Linked DNA regions of Daphnia pulex. The main gene of each other region encodes a partner of the protein of the gene in region 2 in a complex. Links are inferred from orthologs where the notes say so. Each region holds a gene or a part of one and is shown on either strand. Other genes may lie near its edges.

What was found.
Region 1: the proteins of cilia- and flagella-associated protein 36-like (region 2) and ADP-ribosylation factor-like protein 3 are in contact, whole or in part, in a crystal structure (PDB 4ZI3), measured with the Mus musculus proteins. The link is inferred for Daphnia pulex from reciprocal best matches to the Homo sapiens genes CFAP36 and ARL3. Residues at the interface, in NP_080016.1 of Mus musculus: Glu44, Glu45, Ser46, Lys47, Leu48, Thr51, Glu52, Lys58, Val61, Glu62, Leu65, Glu76, Phe79, Gln80, Cys83, Thr84, Ala88, Lys89, Leu97, Val100, Leu101, Ala103, Glu104, Asp105, Phe106, Thr107, Ile108; in NP_062692.1 of Mus musculus: Leu3, Leu4, Ile6, Leu7, Arg8, Lys9, Leu10, Lys11, Ser12, Arg19, Lys35, Glu40, Pro47, Thr48, Gln49, Gly50, Phe51, Asn52, Ile53, Lys54, Trp66, Ile74, Tyr77, Ser80, Tyr81.

What each region holds. Positions count from the first base shown.
Region 1 is NC_060026.1:9,413,213-9,417,055, forward strand, and holds ADP-ribosylation factor-like protein 3, read left to right. Parts: upstream 1-1,622; 5' UTR 1,623-1,699; coding exon 1,700-1,702; intron 1,703-1,920; coding exon 1,921-2,181; intron 2,182-2,303; coding exon 2,304-2,394; intron 2,395-2,565; coding exon 2,566-2,678; intron 2,679-2,768; coding exon 2,769-2,801; intron 2,802-3,057; coding exon 3,058-3,099; 3' UTR 3,100-3,307; downstream 3,308-3,843. Other genes in the region: epsilon-sarcoglycan-like, read right to left, coding at 1-91, 149-350, 420-498, 650-783, 882-1,023; ADP-ribose pyrophosphatase, mitochondrial-like, read left to right, coding at 3,638-3,706, 3,771-3,843. UniProt on the Homo sapiens protein: Small GTP-binding protein which cycles between an inactive GDP-bound and an active GTP-bound form, and the rate of cycling is regulated by guanine nucleotide exchange factors (GEF) and GTPase-activating proteins (GAP).
Region 2 is NC_060027.1:5,081,419-5,085,552, forward strand, and holds cilia- and flagella-associated protein 36-like, read right to left. Parts: upstream 2,536-4,134; 5' UTR 2,500-2,535; coding exon 2,259-2,499; intron 1,996-2,258; coding exon 1,928-1,995; intron 1,821-1,927; coding exon 1,713-1,820; intron 1,618-1,712; coding exon 1,362-1,617; intron 1,292-1,361; coding exon 1,157-1,291; intron 1,089-1,156; coding exon 784-1,088; 3' UTR 527-783; downstream 1-526. Other genes in the region: feline leukemia virus subgroup C receptor-related protein 2-like, read left to right, coding at 1-68, 161-479; DNA helicase MCM8-like, read left to right, coding at 3,444-3,588, 3,641-3,781, 3,850-4,082. UniProt on the Homo sapiens protein: May act as an effector for ARL3.

The DNA.
Region 1 (3,843 bases), on a different chromosome or scaffold from region 2:
TTGGCGAAGTGGCCATAAAGGACTGACTTCACGTTCTAATTCACGGAGTACTTCGGAAAATTCGGCGTTACTTCCCAAGGTCAAAAACACTCTGTAACATAAACACTTTTGAAGAAAATTGTTACATTTGTTGATTGCTATTAAATACCCTTCTCCATCTTGCTGGCGCGCAGGTCGTCTCCCGCCAACAGCTAAAGCTGAGTAAAGTTCCACAAAATGAAGATCTAACGAACTTGCTGGCCATAGTATTTTCCGAAAAATATCCAATAGTTTCATTTGCTTTTGCTCATCCATCAGATCATCAAGGTTTAGATTGTGAATTTTTAGTTTTATCTGACAAGTGGCAGGTTCTGTAACACATGATTTTTGAACGGTGAATTTGTTTCCTCAAAAGGATTCTATATGAGAACACCACAAACCTTCTTTAGGAAATATTTCAATAACAATTTCTTTTGCCGATGTTTCAAAAGTTAACAGATTGAATGCAACAACATCTAACTGTGAATGAAATTTGAAAAATTTTAAGTATTTGGTAAGTGAAAGCATTAAAAAACACAATGTGTATCATCAATTCAAATGAGTCATAAATATGTAAAGTTAAGTCTTAAGTGTATCCGTTATAGTGTATGGTAAAAATTAAAATAATTACCTTTAGAGATGCTAAATTATTTGGTGGTGTCCCATATAGAAAACCAAGTTTTAAATTTTGATTAAATACAAGGTTTATCCATTTTGGTAGGTCAGGCAAACCGTGCAGAGAAGCTGAATAGGAGAAGTATTCATCTGTAAAAAATGAAAAAAAGTTATGAAATTGTTCAAAAGGAAATATCTTATTTTCTAGTGTATTATATTTAACTTCAATTCTACAGAACATTTGCTACCTGAAGACTCCACGTCTGATAAATTGAATAACGAAGGTGACAACTGAATCACAAATACCTCGTCCGTTTGAACTTGGTATTGAGCATAGCAATATTTCGAAAAGAAAACTAAAAAAAGGGAGGTGGAGAGTGCAATATGCATTTTCCTACACTGCAAAAACAATGGATAAAAATATTCTTTGATTTTTGTCAACTAAGAAAATTCACTTCTCATTTACAGTGTTTTGTTGTTGTTGTTTTACACTAAAAAGCCAATGCTAAATATGGCGGTGCTGATCTAAACACTTAATCAGGCTTGACAGGCGATTTTTCCGAACAGGAACAAATAAGAAATAGGCCGTTCCCGCGGCCGTTCGTGAGTCGTGACTCCGATCATCCATAGACCCAAGTCGACGGATAAATTTTCCTGTCATGATTTTAATAATATTTAGAATCTATAACATAGTAAAGTTAACGATTTTACTGAAATTTATAGTTTTATACGTGTAATATTGCGTTTTAGAATATGTGTGAGGATTGAAGCAGAGCTCTGATTGAAGAAAGAAATTATTTAAGAAAACTAATTTCTTTATAAATTTTATTTCATAGCTATACAGAATGATATAATTTATCCAATCAATTTGGAAAATATCCAATTTTCAAATACGACGTTAACGTGTAATATAGGGTAGCACGACACAATTGTCTCATTTTTTGAATAGTAATAAAAAAGGAGACCATTTCCATGGTTACCAGGTCATAGGATTCATAACATTCATTTATGTGAGAAGTACAAATGTCGGCTTAAAAAACTGTTGTAGAACTATTTGGCTTTTTCAATGGTAAGTATTTTTCCCTCTGGATAAACATTCAACTTCTTATTTAGAACTGTCATAAATTTGAGTTGCTGACTTGCTGTTGATTGCCTTAAAAGCTTTTGCAAGAAGTCAGTGATAGAAAAACAAAATGAATTGTTATGGAAGCCTGACCTGCCTTGAAACTTGCTCTTCACATAACACAGGAATTTTTCTTCTTATACTGTAATTATTGTCATCCAAAGGGTTTGTTGGCTTTGCTGCGAAAGTTGCGCGCTTCTTCCGAACAAGAACTACGAATATTGCTGCTAGGACTTGATAATGCTGGTAAAACAACCCTTTTGAAGCATCTGGCCAACGAGGACGTAACCCACATTACGCCTACTCAAGGATTTAACATAAAATCCGTCCAATCATCGGGGTTTAAGCTCAACGTTTGGGATATTGGTGGACAAAGAAAAATTCGGCCATATTGGCGAAATTACTTTGAAAATACTGACGTGCTGGTAGGCCTATTGCATTTATGTCGTTCGACAAATCATTTTAAATTCGAAAATTAAAAAGATGTTTAACTAGGCCTATTATAAAGTTTGAGCTATGTTATTCAATTTATGTTGTCTTTACACAGATCTATGTGATAGACAGTTCCGATAGAAAGCGCTTCGATGAAACTGCCGAGGAATTGTCTGAACTTCTTAATGAAGAAAAACTAGAAGGAGGTAAACATTAAAATTCGTAGTAACGCTAGATTCATTAGTTAGTTGATTAATCTAGTTGTAGGCCTACAATATCAAACTTTTAGCTTAGAATGTATAAATTTAATATGTGTTTATGTTTCAGCTGTTTCAGCTTTTTTTTTTTAATCACGATGTAATCTCAATTGTTTTTAGTCCCCTTGTTAGTGTTCGCTAACAAACAAGATTTATTGGGTGCCGCGACGCCTTCGGAATTAGCTTTGGGCTTGGCTCTCCAGACAATTAAGGACAGAGGATGGCAGATCCAGGTAATATAACAAATCAGAAAGGCTTAAAGGTCATTCTTGTAATGAAAATCAGCAGAAATTTAATTTATTTTTCGTTGTACTTACATACAGGCCTGCTGCGCTTGTTCTGGTGAAGGCGTTCAGGTAGGTAGGAATTTGCTAAAGACACATACATATTTCCAAATCGTTAACTTTTTCACTCACGCACTATCCGTACGCGGAATGCACTATCTAGTTATGCGTTCGGTTTGTTATTTAGTAGATTAGATAAAAGTAGCAACATCATATTTGATCTTTTTTTTCCTTCGTAATTCGTAATAGTTTGAAAATAAAATAAAAATAGCACGCGTCCTCGTGATAGTTTTCTTTATCTTATTTATCCAAAATTCTTTTAATACAGGATGGAATGAACTGGATATGCCAAACGATTAAGAAAAAATGATTGCATTGTCTTTTCGTTAGAGATTGATGAATTTTCCAATCAGTTATGTTAATGAATGTTATTATTTGCCCTTCAATGTTCACCTTCCAACGATAATCGAAATTTGAACCCCGCCCGTCTCAATGTTTACTTTCGTAAAAATTGTTCTGCCACTGTCTGTCCGCAGTCCGCTTTATGAGCGAATCTTTTTAAAAATAAACTTTGAAAGAAAGACCTATTTCATTTACTCATATAAAAATCTGGAATTTTTTTATGCCTGCTTTTTTTCATTGCAAAAATAAAAAATTCTGGATTTGCATGATTCTTTGTTCTAAATTCAAGCAAGTTTGCAACATAGGAATAATCGCTCAATATGATGGTAAACAGAAAAAAGTGTTGTCTTGACGACGTTTAAATAACAAGAAATAACGTTCGCAGGAAATCATCTCGACGTTTATACTCGGGTAAAAAATAATTTGCAGTGGTTTGCACTTCGCTTTGGCCTAACTATTTTTCTATAATGGTACTGTTGTCAAGATTTGTTTCTATTGCATCAAAAATGACGACTTGGAGCAATAAAATACACTCTAAATGTAGAGGTGAAATATACCCTCGTTCAGATCAAAAGGTGAAACAAATTATTTTTTAAAAAATTATTGTCTGAAGTTATTCTTCTATATTCTTCCAATTAGCGACTCATCGTTCCTATTGATAAAGTCAAATGGTCTGTTTCATGGCCAGATTACGATCCACCTGCATATACAT
Region 2 (4,134 bases):
GTAACTTACACTTTCACTTTCCGACTTGAATATATTCCCATCACTTTTGTTGCGGCAGGAATCGCTGGGTAGGTTTAGCTCTCATACAATATCTTTTTATCAATGAATAATGGTTTAAAAGAGCATGCAATTTTTAATATTGTTTGAATTGTCTGTATAGTTTTTTCATGACGGGATATCTGCCCGTGGGATTTGAATTTGGCGCCGAATTAACTTATCCGGAACCCGAAGTCACTTCGGCGGGGTTGTTGAACGCCTCCGCCCAGGTTTTTGGCATCACCTTCACACTTCTGGGAGGTTGGCTGTTGGGAACCTATGGCTCCATGGTGTGCAACTGTTTATTATCAATGGCGCTGCTGGTTGGTTTCGCCATGACTTTCCCCATACGCCCGGAGCTTCGCAGACAAAAGGCCAATCAAGAATCCATTTTCGCTATCCTGGGTGGCGAAAAAGTCAATCCTTTGCCAGTTTCTGCTTGAAAATTGAAATGCAGTAGTATATAGCTTTATAATTGTTACGGTAAAAATAAAGAAAGTAAAAGCCGTTTATTCAGGTCAGATATCGCTCTTCCGTATATGCAATACACGCGCTGTGTTAATCTAGTAATTAAAATTCGACTTACTACATGTGCAAGGTGTTTAAATAAATCCCGTATTTCATAGTTCTGAATTTAAATGTTTGAAAATGTGACGTGCTAAAATAATAACGCAGACATGTTTTACAATAAATATTTTAAATAAAATTTAAAGAAAAAGTTTTATCTTGAAGATATAAAACAAGATTTTATTTCGGTGGAACGCCTTCCACCTCCTCTTTGATTTTCTGCAAGAGCAACCGTCGATATTGAATGGTACGCTCGTCCACCTCGGGAGACGCCTCGCCGGCCAAGGCCGCTCGAGCGGCACGTCCAGATCTCGGTCTAGACATTCCCGGTTTACTACTTTCTCCTGCCACCCTGTCCGTCCGCTCTTGCTGCTCCAACTGGAGTTCTCGTTCTTTCCGCTTCTGGCTGAGAATCTTGTCACGCTGAGCCCGCAACTGCACGCGACGTTGCTCCACCTCTGCCGGATCAGGAATCCTCATTGCAACTAAATAAAAATTGACCAACGATTTAATTTTTTTTTAAATACAAGTAATTCTTTTAGAATAAGTAAACCTTTGGCTGGAGATTCAACTTGATTGGTTGGCGGAGGTTCATTGGTATCCGGCAATGTAGTCACGCTCTGTTCATCTTCAACACTCAAATTTGTCTTGAGAAGTCCAGCAACGGAAGCAGCCAGAGCTCGGTCAACTTGACGTTCACTTAAAATTAGAATGTGTTTCCCATTGTATTGTAAGTCCTTTGATCCAAACCATTTTACCTTCGCGCTTTTCTTGGACTTGGGCATTTCGTTCGGCCACATGTTCCGCCAACGATTGTCGAATGGCTTCGTTGATGTCTTCCTCGGAAAACTCATCGACAGACGATCGATTTTCAATGGCCGGGCCGTCGTCGGGATGATTGCGTTTCTGACGAAGCATTTCCACTGCTTCGTTGTGCAGTTGCTCATTTTTAGAGCGCATCAGAACTTTGAAGCGATCGTAATCTCCAGCCGATTGCACGGGTTCTAGTAATTGCTATAACAGATCATATGCAACGTTTAAAATCAATGTGGCGTGAAATGAATGAAATATATAATGTGTGAAGAATAAATGAGCCATAGTTAAATTACCTGTAAAGCCGCCGATCGAACGGATGGCTGAATTTGACTCAAGGCTGATTCTAAATGTTCCGGCTGAAGGCTTAAATCATCCATGTAAGCCCCGAGCATGACATCCACCTTGCATGAATCAGAAATTATGTACAAATCTGTTATGTAATTTGCTGCTGGCTCGCTCAATAGAAGAAGCGTCACAAGGTGTGACTTGACTTTGTACAACATCTCACCAGATTACGGAAATCCTTATGGATTCCCAGGTACTCAGTCTCGTACTGTTCGCCATCACCTTCAAATACTTTCAAATTTCACAATGTTTAAATTTTAAATTTCGGGTAAAACCTTTATGAATTATGAATAAGAAATTATTAAAATTTTCGTGACTCAAAAATGGTATATTCTAGTTTTGCTTGTTAAATAAGTTGTCGAACGCAGAATAACAAGCAGACGCAGAAACAGACTATTAAAAATACCTATAAAGCATTGAAGCTATGAAGCTATACATACAGGAACATGAACCTATAATATGTCGCTATAATAATATTAGTTATGTTATCATACCTACGGACTTCTGCTCTATGAAGTTAAGAATTGGCGTATTCCAAATGGGACCACGAAGGTAGGCCACCAATGAATCCAGAATCCAATCGGCGTTGTTTTCGTTGTCTGTCTCACTTTTCGCTTGCTCCATGGCTGAAGGTGGTAGTTTGGGACGGTTCTGGAATTGACAGATCGCATCTACAATTGAAACTCTCCTCCGGAAAACCGGACTGTTTAACTCCTGTCCAAGCGCGCGATCCATGGCGTGGTCATAGCAACGAAACGATAACAAACACAAACCCGCACAAACCCTCAGATAGACCGTCCTGTGCTCGAATCTTGACCGATTTCGCTGTAGAATTCTGTCGCCCACAAAATTTAATTGTCTTGATTTTTTTTTATCACGAATTTTTTAGTTAATTAATAAGAATGACATCCTATTTTATCAATCCTTTCGAATTTTCAAACCGCATACGATTTTGGATTTTCAATTAAAAATCGGGAAAAATATAAAATTATATCCACTCAAAAATAATATAGGCTAGTCTTTTGCGATCCTCGCCCCATCTTTTAACATATTCCTCCCCCTAATTTATTTTTAAATTGATGGATTAACCATGATATTCGTGATGGATTTTCATAGAATGAATATTGAATACGGTGATATTTTTCTTAAAGTTCCCTGGATTAAATAAGTTACGAGAATACGGAGAGTCCCGATGCATTAATTTTCCGTAATATGTTGATATTGCTATAAAATAAGACGAAGAATTCTTTGTTGTTGCTTGAATATATATTTTTCATTGAGAGTAAGTGTTTTATTTTTTTTTTTATTATTAAAAAAAAATCAAATTTAAACTAGATAAAAACATAATTAATGTGTTTATTTTCTGAGAGGATTATGGCTAGTGATTCTTCCAATTACAAAATACAAAGTTCATGTAAAATATTTGTTTTTGCAATTATGTGGAGGTTATAAACTACTTGAATTTACTACAATTATGAACAATTCACAACTAGGGTTTTCTAGGTCGAATCGAATCTTACCCATCCTTCAGAATGGGCTTCACTTTCTGTCGTCTGCAATGTTAGCGGCGGTTTTTTATCCTTGGAAAAATCAAAACTTTGAACCACATCATAGCTATTGCAGTCTTTTTTGTTCTAGTTAATTCCATGTTCACCCCAAAAAGTTAAGTTTGTTTAGCTATGGCAGATTCAGGAAATAATTCTAGAGGTAAAGAAAGAGGTGGGTTTCGTGGTAGAGGCAATAACAACTGGAGGTCTAATAGATGGAGAGGACGTGGATATCAAAGAGGCCGAGGATCAACAAGAAACAATGACAACAATAACGGTAATGAGAAACTTTAATTTGTTTCTGATTTATTCTAAAAATGTTTATAAAGATATTAGAGATCCTCCTTCAAACCAAAATATTCAGTCTTCTGACAGCGAGACACCAGCAAGGCAGAGGAATCGTATAAATCAGCATTTCCCACCAGTATCTTGTCCATATAAAGGGTGGAAACATTACTTCCCATCAGAAGGTATCAACACACTTAGAGAATTGAAAGATTTATCTAATAAAACTTATAAATTTCCATAATTTTCACAGATTTTGTTCCAACTACGAGAACAGTTCAAAAAATTAATTGGTCAATTGAGTTATTTTCCAATCAAGAAGACTTGTGTGACTTCAGTGCTGCAGTAGAGAATGGCGGATTTCCCCTAGATTATAAATTCTTGATTGAAGATCAATACTTTTGTGAAGTATGGCCTCAGTTCAAAGATGATCTAATTAATACCCCTACAAATACATTAGCAGTGCTGAGTCTAGCAATGTACCAGGTAAATAAATTGAAATATAACCTGAAAATAGCATGTTTCATGTAACTACAGC